Saccharomyces cerevisiae S288C: one gene and its partners. The gene in region 2 interacts genetically with the main gene of each other region. Each region holds a gene or a part of one and is shown on either strand. Other genes may lie near its edges.

Region 1 (3,206 bases), on a different chromosome or scaffold from region 2:
GTATAGCTTACCAAAGGGCTCCTTGGGGTGTTTGATCCAACTTTGGAATCTTCAGATTGGGGATGGTTTGCTTTAAATTTCGTATCAACTGTCAAAGGTTTAGTCTTTTTTTGTGGAGCCAATACAGGTACTAAAGATTTTGATGAGATCGACCGTTGTAAATTAGAGACGTATCTCTGCGATTTTTTTTGACGCGGAGTAGAGTTGCTGTTTTTGTTGACTAGGTTCGTCCCTCTTTTTTTTGACTTGTTGTTAATGTTTGCTTTAGATTTAGTGGTTTTGGAATTCGTGGCGGAGGGGACCTTTTGAACATTATATGAAAACAGTCTTCTTCTTAAAACTAGCCGTAATTTCCGTAACTTTTTCTTTATCTTGATTCCCAATGAGGTGAAATAATATAAGAGTCCGCCCTTACATCTAATAGCTTTTGATCGTTTTAGAGAACAACGACTGCTACTTGATTTACTGCTGACACTTGAACTATACCTGGAATTGGAAAACCTCGAGGATTCAACTCGTCTTATGGTCGGAACTCTGTTTAGCTTTTTTTTAGGTTTCGGTACTACGCTATTGTTTAATTCGATAGTTTTTATATCCTTTTCCATATTTAATTTGGTCATCGGTTTGGCTTCTTGGGTCGACGGCAGAATGGCGCTTTTAGATGTCGATTTCCTTGGTAATAACGATGATGCTGATGACGGCGCGATATCGTAGGAAACATTATCTGCTGTTGGGATAGTCTGGAATGCCGTTGAGATTGAGCCAGTTATGTTTCCCTCTGGAATAGCTTCCATTGAATGTAACTGGTTTTTAACTACATTTGAGCTGCTATAATGAAGAGAGTCATTTCCTGGGAAGTCATGAGAAGCAAAAAAGTCACTTTTGTTCGAGTCTGAGGAAGTTAATCTAGCGGTTTCATTTTGATTGATTACAATACGTGGTGAAGACGTAGTATTGTCAGAAATGTTAGCAAATGAATAGTATCCATTTGATGAATAACCGGAATTTGTATTTGTATTGGAAGTGGATGTATAGTCTGATAATGTTTGAGAGTTTCCGTCTTCATCGCGAGAAACTCCATTTTCTGCTGCAAACACATCATTTAAAAGATGATGATTATTCAAATGGTACTCTTCTAGCGTTCCTCTTGGTAAACTTTCGTTAGACGGGAATTTAAAATCCATTTGATCGCCTCTAAACGACTTGGTTTTTGTCCTTATTGGAGCTCTGATGATCATTCCGTATGATATATTTGTTGTGATAATAAGCCAAATTTATTTGAGCACTATTGTTAAGTTAATTGTTCTTGTTTTACTTGTTAAGCCGTTAAGTTGTCAACCGAATTATCAAGCACTTAAATCTATATATACAACATATTTGTACAAGAATTGATGACCTGCTGAAAGCCCAGCAATCTGGTTATCCCAGTTGAACATGTTTAAGGATAGGCATATCGACTTCTTTATCTTACTAACCGAAATATTGAATTGCCTGTGTAATGAATGGCTGGAGCAGCCTTTTTTTTATCTTCGCCAGCCATCGCTTTTTTTGAATATTTTCCACATGAAAACAATGTATGAAAAATTCTAAGGCATCGCACCAAACTATATGAAGGGGAAGTGAGTTATTCCGCAAACAGCGAGTAAGTTTTTCGTTGTATTGATTGCCCATATTATATACCGTGTTGTGGGGGCAACAGACAGAAGTAGAAGAAAAAATTTTTGTTGATTTAACTGAAGTGATGGGAAGGACATTTATTCATGCTTCGAAAATAAAACATGCGGCACGCAAAAGAAAACATCATTCCAACTTTAGAACTCTGATCAAATTATTGAACAATGATGCCTATAAGATAGAATCATCAAAACCGTTGAAAAATGGTAAACTTTTCAAATACTGGAAAAATAGGCGTAGATTGTTTTCAAAGATAGATTCGGCGTCGATATATATGACTGATGAGCTGTGGTTCAGTGTGACGCCCGAAAGAATTGCCTGCTTCCTGGCAAATTTTGTTAAGGCATGCATGCCAAATGCCGAAAGAATACTGGATGTTTTCTGTGGTGGGGGCGGGAACACCATACAATTTGCCATGCAATTTCCTTACGTCTATGGAGTGGACTACAGTATTGAACACATATATTGTACTGCGAAAAACGCCCAAAGCTACGGTGTGGACGACAGAATATGGCTGAAGCGGGGATCCTGGAAAAAGCTAGTCTCTAAGCAGAAACTTTCCAAAATAAAGTACGACTGTGTATTTGGATCACCCCCGTGGGGTGGTCCAGAATACTTAAGAAACGATGTGTATGACTTAGAGCAACATCTAAAGCCTATGGGGATTACCAAGATGTTGAAAAGTTTTCTTAAACTAAGCCCTAATGTGATTATGTTTTTGCCAAGGAACTCTGATTTGAACCAGCTTTCTCGAGCTACGAGGAAAGTACTAGGTCCATTTGCCAAATGTAAAGTATTATATGTAAAGGAGAATGGATATATGAAAGGAATATTTTGCATGTGGGGGGAATGCTTTTTTAACTACGAACCAGCAAGTACGGAGAATAGTCGAAGGGAGTCGTCCGAAAAGGAAGAGCTGAGTTCTGAAAACGAAGAGCTCTCGAAAAGAAAAAAGCATGAATCCACAACAACGACCAAAGATAATACTGTAGACATTTACGACGTAAATGGTTAAACACTTGTTCAAGTTGAATCGTATGATAGAAAATGCAATGACTATGTTATGAATGTATATATAGCACATAAAGAGGATCGCTTACGTGAATTTGGGAATAATTAAAACGTTCTTTTAGCTGCGGCTGCTCGTCGATAGGAGTGATAACAAATTAAGAATTAGAAGGGATGTCTTTTTTTTCTACCAGCAAGTTGCCACGCGCTTCAGACTTTAGAAGAGGTAGTAGCAATCCCTTCGAATGAGGTTCGATTATATCTCTCACCATTCCACGATTTATCACGGAAATACCATTCAAAAATAAATAAGGCGACTGAATGGATTCCAAGGCAGCACTAGTATCGATATTTAGTTTATTTTGTTTGATATACTTTTCTAATTCATAGCCATGAGAGTGTTTTTCCAAATCAACAGTGGCCAATTCGGGTGAAATCTCAAATTCTCTTTGTAATAGATTTTTTAAGAAAATGGAGTCTGCTTGTGATGATTTAATGAATAATACCGCTGGAGAGGTTCTTAT
Region 2 (2,924 bases):
AAAATGCTCGTCAAGTGTCAGGATGTCGTCTATAGGTAAATCATTAACATGCTGGTTGAATGATCTTGCCATGGACAAAGACGCAGGTCCCATCCCATCCGTCACGAAGAATATGACATTCTTCTTCTTGTGTGATGCAGAACGTAATGCAAAACTGCTTGGAAATGCCAGTTGCACTAAAACCAGCAACAAACCAATACAGACCACAGTGGATACTATTATCTTTGATCTCTTCGAGATCCGTCTCTTTTTAGGACGAGAGCTCGAGTCAGATCCAGGAACAAGACGTGTCTGTTCGCTTGGTAATGTGTGAGTCATCATGCTGCTAATGCGCGTTCAAATAATGTCCCGTATGCTGATATGTAAATGTTTATGTAGCCACTTGCTGGCAAAATGTGGAGCACGAAAAAATATAAACGTTTAGATACACTTCTTTCTTTATATACTAAAATCCCTTTACTTTTCCTCTACGCGCGAAGCTTATCGCTATCGTCAATGCTGCTATTCATGTCGATGCTGCTCTTCCGTTAGACGCGCCTTACGAGGGGTGTACAAAGAGGACATCCGCTGCTGTTCTTGCCACTCGTTCGTCAGTTTTGCCCTCAACGCTTCACATTTCTTGTCAATCTGCTCTTCCGAGAGCGTTTCTTCCTCCTCCAGTCGGTCCCGTAGCTCGCTAACTTGTACTTCAATCTCACGTTTCTCCATATGAGTCTCTATCTGTTTCTGCACAGCAAGAGGCCTGCTTGCCTTGTCATGGCTGGCCTTTTTGATCGCATTTTGTCGTTGTTGCCGCTGCTGTTGACTACCCTGTGGTCTGCGCCTATTGTTGCTAGCAAGTGATCGCTGCACGTGGCCCGACGTAGATGACCCTTTTGCCGACTTGAGCCCTATTCCGTTGTACGACATGACTGGACGGTGATGCAGTAGCTGTTAACCGTCGAATGGTATTGTGTAGAGCTCAAATTAGGATTACACAGATTATAATACCACACTTATAGTGCCATTCTTGAGGTCTTACTTGATTCTTCCTTGCCTTTACCCGCACGCTTAATATAATTTTTCCTTCTTATCTGCTACGCCTTCTTCTAGTAGGAAAAAAAAAAGAAATTTGGTGAAGAAACAGTCTGAAAAGGAGATAATTTGCGATTTAATTCGTTTATACATTTTATGAATCTATAATACTGGAAGTGATATCCATATTCGCAAGCAGTTCCACTCGAAAGCATGGCCCTCTTTCTCAGTAAGAGACTGTTGAGATTTACCGTCATTGCAGGTGCGGTTATTGTTCTCCTCCTAACATTGAATTCCAACAGTAGAACTCAGCAATATATTCCGAGTTCCATCTCCGCTGCATTTGATTTTACCTCAGGATCTATATCCCCTGAACAACAAGTCATCTCTGAGGAAAATGATGCTAAAAAATTAGAGCAAAGTGCTCTGAATTCAGAGGCAAGCGAAGACTCCGAAGCCATGGATGAAGAATCCAAGGCTCTGAAAGCTGCCGCTGAAAAGGCAGATGCCCCGATCGACACTAAAACAACCATGGATTATATCACTCCATCTTTTGCTAACAAAGCTGGTAAGCCAAAAGCTTGTTACGTCACTTTGGTGAGAAACAAGGAGTTGAAAGGTTTGCTAAGCTCCATTAAATATGTGGAAAACAAAATTAACAAGAAATTCCCATATCCTTGGGTTTTCCTAAACGATGAACCTTTTACTGAAGAATTCAAGGAAGCAGTCACCAAAGCTGTTTCTTCCGAAGTTAAGTTTGGTATTTTGCCCAAGGAACATTGGTCATATCCTGAATGGATTAATCAAACCAAGGCTGCTGAAATTCGTGCAGATGCTGCCACCAAATACATATACGGTGGCTCCGAATCTTATAGACACATGTGTCGTTACCAATCTGGGTTTTTCTGGAGACATGAATTATTAGAAGAGTACGATTGGTACTGGCGTGTGGAACCAGACATCAAGTTATACTGTGATATTAATTACGACGTTTTTAAGTGGATGCAAGAAAACGAAAAAGTTTACGGCTTTACCGTTTCTATTCATGAATATGAAGTGACGATCCCAACACTATGGCAAACGTCCATGGATTTCATCAAAAAGAACCCCGAATACTTAGATGAAAACAACCTGATGAGTTTTCTTTCGAACGATAATGGTAAAACATACAATCTGTGCCATTTCTGGTCAAACTTTGAAATTGCAAACTTGAATTTGTGGAGGTCACCAGCCTACAGAGAGTATTTTGACACTTTGGATCATCAAGGTGGATTTTTCTACGAAAGATGGGGCGATGCTCCCGTTCATTCTATTGCTGCTGCTTTGTTTTTGCCAAAGGATAAAATCCATTATTTTTCAGACATTGGTTACCATCATCCACCTTATGATAACTGCCCATTGGACAAGGAGGTCTATAACAGTAACAACTGTGAATGTGACCAAGGTAATGATTTCACTTTCCAAGGTTACTCTTGTGGTAAGGAATATTATGATGCTCAAGGGTTGGTAAAGCCAAAAAACTGGAAAAAATTCCGTGAGTAGAAATCTTGGAACATACTGTTTCTTTGTTTTGACTTTATACTTTCTATTTATATTTTATTTTTATAACTGGTTAAGTACACATAGGACTGCGTATCAAACATATAAGTGAGGCAATCCACATTTTTTTTAAAGATTCGAATATTTTTATTCTCATTAGCGTATTCCGAGAATAGTTCGAAAAAATATAAGGTATATCAAGAGTTTTTACAAGTGAGAGGAAAGAGGAATAAGCTATAAGCAACAAAAGCGTAAAAAAATTAGCTGAAGACATAGAACTATGGATGTTCTCAAAGAGGTGTTGTCACTAGACCAAGATAAATTTGACCAGCTGAAGGAAACGAGCCGAGATAAAACAAATGAAACGGATG
Region 3 (2,991 bases), on a different chromosome or scaffold from region 2:
TTATCAATACGAATATTGAGACGTAAATGAAAACCCTTCTCACAGATCTAATCATTTTCCTAAGACTCGGGATGATATAGAATTATTAAGGTATTTCCTATCATAAAATCTTTCCCTTTTCGGCGGTTTTGTTTTAAATCTGGATTTCTAAGCAAAGGATTTTCGCTAGTTTTTTTTTTTCAAGTAGCTCGTAAAAAGAAAACGAGAGCTACTCCTGCATGATTCATATAAGATTTGACGAGTGTATAAGATACATTTGTATTGGTGTACATTATGAAATCTATGTAATCTACCTAAGCGTAAAAAGGAGATCTTGCCTTCGATAACTAGTACGGTGGAAGAATTACATTTAATAACGAACGGGACAATATGATATCATAGAAGAAAAAAAAATGAGTCCCGATCACTATTTTACTTCATATCTGCAGCTCGGACATGTTTGAAGATTATAATGCTTGTGATGGTCATTCGAAATAGTGCCTCTTCTAAATGTTTGAATAATTTTCCATAGCTAAAGGTTAAGTTCATCCATTAGTTTCTTTTTTCTTCTTTGCACTAACCAATGCTCCATATCTGCCAGAGTTGGTACATGGATTTCTTGTGTCTGCCTTGACATTTCTTCTTCATCTTCATTCACAGGCACATTATAATGTGCTTTCAAAATGGATGTCCAGTTAGCCTCAAATTCGGTTAAGGCGGCTGTGACTTTGCCATGGTAATAAAAATCATTTCTATCCTTCGGTATGCATTTGGTGTTTATAGAACCCCCATCATTCTGCCTTTGAGACTGCTTGAGCCATTCTTTTACTTCAGGCAATTCCAGGGCTCTTCCAAAATATCTCTTACCATTTATCAGCTTTCCTGAATTCATCAGCACATGACTGTCTTCTAACCTTTTCCTCTTGGTTTTTTTTTCCATAAGTGTATGGTCAATGTGCCACTGCCATCTCTTCCATTCTTTGAAAAGATTATTAAGTTCGTCGTTAAGTTCCGCAATCTGCATTTCATTTAAAGACGGATCATATATTCTTGTGCTTTTTTGTTTTATCTCTTTACTTACTTGTCGCTTCCATTCGTTGGCCTCTTTTATGGATTTTACCTTAGACACGTTCCTGGGCCTCTGGTAACGTGAATAATCCTTGTATCCACCTGCCGACTCTGCTTGCTGCTCTTGAAATCGTACCAGAACTGAGTTGGCCTTATCTACATTTCTACTCATTTTGAATGCACAGGTATCTGATTACTGATGTGGTGCGCCTTGCGATATAACGGTGTGTCACTTTTATTTGCTCTTTCATGCATCCTGAAATTATTTCACCGCACTACGCAAAGAGAACGGAGAAAAAGGTATAATAGGGCAAATGATCATTGACATCGTGATCGTAAGCCAAAAAAAAATACAATAGGCTCCCTAAATAAGTAGAGTAAAAGCTCTTGAGATGAAGGAGAATGACATGAATAATGGCGTAGATAAATGGGTAAATGAGGAAGATGGTCGAAATGATCATCATAACAACAATAATAACTTGATGAAGAAGGCCATGATGAACAATGAGCAAATTGATAGAACTCAGGATATCGACAACGCCAAAGAAATGTTGAGGAAAATATCAAGTGAAAGCAGCTCGCGCAGAAGCTCCCTGTTGAATAAAGATTCATCTCTCGTGAACGGCAATGCAAACAGTGGCGGTGGTACGAGCATTAACGGAACAAGAGGAAGTTCTAAGAGTAGTAATACACACTTTCAGTATGCCTCCACGGCGTATGGTGTAAGAATGTTGAGTAAAGATATATCTAATACCAAAGTGGAACTGGATGTGGAAAATTTGATGATTGTTACGAAACTCAACGATGTCTCACTGTATTTCTTAACAAGAGAGTTGGTAGAATGGGTTTTGGTACATTTTCCACGTGTGACTGTTTATGTGGATTCCGAATTGAAAAACAGCAAAAAATTTGCCGCTGGCGAGTTATGTGAAGATAGTAAATGTAGAGAATCAAGGATCAAGTATTGGACAAAGGATTTCATCAGGGAACATGATGTTTTCTTCGATTTGGTAGTGACTTTGGGTGGCGACGGTACTGTTCTTTTTGTAAGTTCCATTTTTCAGAGACATGTACCACCCGTTATGTCGTTTTCATTAGGGTCTCTAGGATTTTTAACAAATTTTAAGTTTGAACATTTCAGGGAGGATTTACCTCGGATTATGAATCATAAAATCAAGACAAATTTACGGTTGAGGTTGGAGTGCACAATTTATCGTAGACACCGCCCTGAAGTAGACCCAAACACGGGGAAGAAAATATGTGTGGTGGAAAAACTAAGCACACACCACATTTTGAACGAAGTGACCATCGATCGTGGTCCAAGTCCTTTTCTATCCATGTTAGAATTGTATGGTGACGGCTCATTAATGACCGTTGCGCAGGCGGACGGACTGATTGCTGCTACTCCGACTGGGTCCACGGCCTATTCTTTGAGTGCAGGTGGGTCATTGGTATGCCCAACCGTCAATGCAATCGCTTTAACACCCATTTGTCCACATGCATTGAGTTTCAGACCCATCATCTTACCAGAAAGTATAAATTTAAAAGTGAAAGTCTCGATGAAGTCAAGGGCTCCAGCATGGGCGGCTTTTGATGGGAAAGATAGAATTGAATTGCAAAAAGGTGATTTTATAACCATATGCGCCAGCCCATATGCTTTTCCAACCGTGGAAGCCTCGCCCGATGAGTTTATTAACAGTATCAGTCGACAACTAAACTGGAATGTGAGGGAACAACAAAAGTCCTTTACGCATATTTTGTCCCAAAAGAACCAAGAAAAATATGCACATGAGGCGAACAAAGTCAGAAATCAAGCAGAACCTTTAGAGGTAATAAGAGATAAATACTCTCTGGAAGCAGACGCTACTAAGGAAAACAACAACGGAAGCGATGATGAGAGCGACGATGAGAGTGTAAACTGCGAAGCTTGCAAATTAAAGCCTT
Region 4 (2,919 bases), on a different chromosome or scaffold from region 2:
GGAGCCACCCGTCCCGTTGGCTCCCCCTTTGCCTGCTGTTGATGGCTTTCAAGAACCTCCAATTCCCTCAGCACCTGCAATAGCTACTGCCGTGCAAAAATCGGGTTCTTCCACCCCAGCTTTAGCTGGAGGCGTTTTGCCTCCACCCCCACCTTTACCAACTCAACAAGCTTCCACTTCAGAACCTATTATCGCTCACGTTGATAACTACAATGGTGCTGAAAAAGGCACGGGCGCATATGGATCCGATTCTGATGATGACGTTTTATCGATTCCTGAATCAGTTGGTACAGATGAAGAGGAAGAAGGGGCACAACCAGTTTCTACTGCAGGTATCCCATCAATTCCACCTGCAGGTATTCCTCCACCCCCACCCCTTCCATGAAGATTTAATTTGCTTTCTATAGATACGTATGTATACTAATTTCTGAAAGGATGTAGAATTACAAATATGATATTGATTATTTTTTTCTAGGCTATATGAATATAAGATATGCGATGAAAGAAAAAATTATTTAATTTGGTTGGTCCTTTTTAGCCAAAATGAGTTTCTCAGCATTGTTCTTCGAAACTATATCTCGATCCAATTCTTCCTTTACAGCTTCATAGTATTTTTGTAAACTCCTTTTTGGCCTATAAAAAGTATGATCAATTTTGAGGGCTCTACCGCCAATTTTAAATCCATTTAAATTATCGACTGCTAGAATCGTTGACCGTTGATCCTCATATTTCAAATATGCAAAACCTTGCGATTCTCCTGTGTTTTCATCCCTGCTAAGAATTACATCTACAGGGACTCCATATTCAGAAAAGACTGTCAATATGTCACCTTCTGTTAATTCTCGGTTGAGATTTCCGATATATATATAAGCATTATCCTTATATTCATTATGCCATGATTGATGCGGGCTAAGAATTCCACTTTGTAGTTCTTTATCGTTGATTTGCTGAATTTTGTTCATTGTTATTTTGTTTATATTATCTATGTTCTTGATCTAGAATTGCACGCTGCACTTTTTGAGTTGTATGAGTAATTAATGTTCGGCCTATTTTTTTTTATCTGTATTAATCTCAAAAAATTCCTAAACCCAGAAAGGTAAAAGAGCTTATCATTTAAGTGTGGCATAATTCTCCAGCCATAACCACTTCCTTATCACATAAATTATCATTGTCACTGAGTTCAATCACTTCTTTATTGTTCTATTGTCTTTCTTTCAAGAATAGAATTATCAGTATTAGTGTGATCTTATATACATTATATTATATTGAATACAGATAATAAAAAAAAGTGAATTTTTGAATTTTTAATATACAAGAGATGATTGCTAACTTCATGTATGTCTCTTCTTTTTTGTAGCTTCTGCTACAAGTTCTTCAAAGATCTGTGCCTCTTCTTGTTCGACTTTGGTTCTGAAAGTTTTCTTAAAGACTTCACCCAATAGTTTCATTGCTTCAGCTCTTCTGATAAGCGTTTTCTTACTTACCGAGTCATCTTCTAGTACTTTTTTACAAACGCCACGTAAAGTGGATGTTATTTCATATTTAGAACCATGCCAAGCAGCCGACAATACTTTGCCCATCAATAGCTGCTCTTGCTGCGCCAGTTCCTCAGTGGTTGGCTTAATTTGCTCATTTCCGTCTTTGTCAAACAAAGGCTCATTATTCGTGCTAGCTTCTTTCATTTTTTCAAGCTCCTTCATAGTATTCTGAGCGTCTATGGCTGCCGAAACAGTTCTTAGTGTATCCATAAATACTCCCCCTTTAGCCTTCATAGAATGAAATATACCACCCATTCCGAACAGGTTCTGGGATGCAAGAAAAATTTCAGCTTTTTCGTAGTAAACGTCGCCTATTGTGTGTAATATGTCCAGACCAAATGATTCCATCTTTAAAAGATTGGCTTCCTCTTCGAACTTTTTTTTAAAGGAATCTTTACATGCATCATCATAGACACTTTCTGTTAATATCGATAATCTTTCAATCAATGTTTTGCTTAATTGGTCTACTCTTTTTTGCTTTTCTACCTCTTGTTCTTCCTCAAACTGCTCTAATTTTGTCTTCTTCTTCTTAGCTTCTGCTCCTACCTGCTCATTTTTCTTGTTTCCATCGTGTACAGTTAAATTACCAGAAGTTGTCCTCGCCTTATTTTTGTCATCTTTTTCGTTAGTATTGCCCAATGCTGCATCAACAGCGTTAGTGGTGCCATTCGTCTTACCGTCTGCAGGTGATTCTTCCATTGTTTCCACATTCTCCTTCTCCTTTTCAGCTTCGTCTTCAGCATTTAGCTCCTCAGTTTTCTGTAGGTTCTTTAATAGCATCAGTTCGCCAATATATGAGGCAAACGCATCTCCACCAAAGATGACAGAGAACTGTTCAGCTGCATCTTCAAAGCCGCCCTGAGGAATAGCTTCTTTTCTTCCATACTTATCATACTTTGCGCGAAGATCATCGTCACCTAAAACTTGATAAGCTTCGGATATTGCTTGAAACCTTTCGGTAGCCGTGGGGTCATTGGGATTCTTATCAGGATGCTCTTGAATAGATTTCTTTCTATAGGCCTTTTTTATTTCAATGGAAGATGCAGTGGTAGACACACCTAACAAATCGTAATACTCAGTATCAACAACCATATCTTTTGTATAATGCCCCTTCTGGCCGCAAGAAACACTTAATGATTTAGCATAACTCTGTTATTCCTCTTGTAAATCTGCCAATTTGTTCAGTACGCTCTGCTTCAAAATAGCACAAAATTCAGGGTGTGCGGGTAAAAAAAAAAAAAGTCGAAGAAATATATATATATATATATAGAATAAAATCTAGTTTTTATGCCATTATTATTAATAACACCTCTAGTTTGCTCGTCATTCACATATTTCTCTCTTGATACATACTATAGAGTTTATTCATACATATTATTTA

What was found.
Region 1: mutations in CWC21 (region 2) and TGS1 together harm fitness more than expected from each alone (negative genetic interaction), as found in Saccharomyces cerevisiae (4 studies listed by BioGRID, with this or other methods).
Region 3: mutations in CWC21 (region 2) and ISY1 together harm fitness more than expected from each alone (negative genetic interaction), as found in Saccharomyces cerevisiae (6 studies listed by BioGRID, with this or other methods).
Region 4: mutations in CWC21 (region 2) and IST3 together harm fitness more than expected from each alone (negative genetic interaction), as found in Saccharomyces cerevisiae (5 studies listed by BioGRID, with this or other methods).

Annotation. Positions count from the first base shown.
Region 1 is NC_001148.4:253,073-256,278, forward strand, and holds TGS1 (RNA methyltransferase), read left to right. Parts: upstream 1-1,741; coding exon 1,742-2,689; downstream 2,690-3,206. Other genes in the region: AIM44 (Aim44p), read right to left, coding at 1-1,238; pheromone-regulated protein PRM4, read right to left, coding at 2,841-3,206. UniProt on the Saccharomyces cerevisiae protein: Catalyzes the two serial methylation steps for the conversion of the 7-monomethylguanosine (m(7)G) caps of snRNAs and snoRNAs to a 2,2,7-trimethylguanosine (m(2,2,7)G) cap structure.
Region 2 is NC_001136.10:1,419,930-1,422,853, forward strand, and holds CWC21 (U2-type spliceosomal complex subunit CWC21), read right to left. Parts: upstream 910-2,924; coding exon 502-909; downstream 1-501. Other genes in the region: alkaline phosphatase PHO8, read right to left, coding at 1-321; alpha-1,2-mannosyltransferase KRE2, read left to right, coding at 1,228-2,556; VPS52 (Vps52p), read left to right, coding at 2,834-2,924. UniProt on the Saccharomyces cerevisiae protein: Involved in pre-mRNA splicing. May function at or prior to the first catalytic step of splicing at the catalytic center of the spliceosome, together with ISY1. May do so by stabilizing the catalytic center or the position of the RNA substrate.
Region 3 is NC_001142.9:526,925-529,915, reverse strand, and holds ISY1 (Isy1p), read right to left. Parts: upstream 1,220-2,991; coding exon 512-1,219; downstream 1-511. Other genes in the region: OSM1 (fumarate reductase), read right to left, coding at 1-55; UTR1 (NADH/NAD(+) kinase), read left to right, coding at 1,440-2,991. UniProt on the Saccharomyces cerevisiae protein: Involved in pre-mRNA splicing and cell cycle control.
Region 4 is NC_001141.2:362,932-365,850, reverse strand, and holds IST3 (U2 snRNP complex subunit IST3), read right to left. Parts: upstream 963-2,919; coding exon 516-962; downstream 1-515. Other genes in the region: actin cytoskeleton-regulatory complex protein PAN1, read left to right, coding at 1-385; DJP1 (Djp1p), read right to left, coding at 1,332-2,630. UniProt on the Saccharomyces cerevisiae protein: Required for pre-mRNA splicing and spliceosome assembly. As part of the pre-mRNA retention and splicing (RES) complex, required for nuclear pre-mRNA retention and efficient splicing. Required for MER1-activated splicing.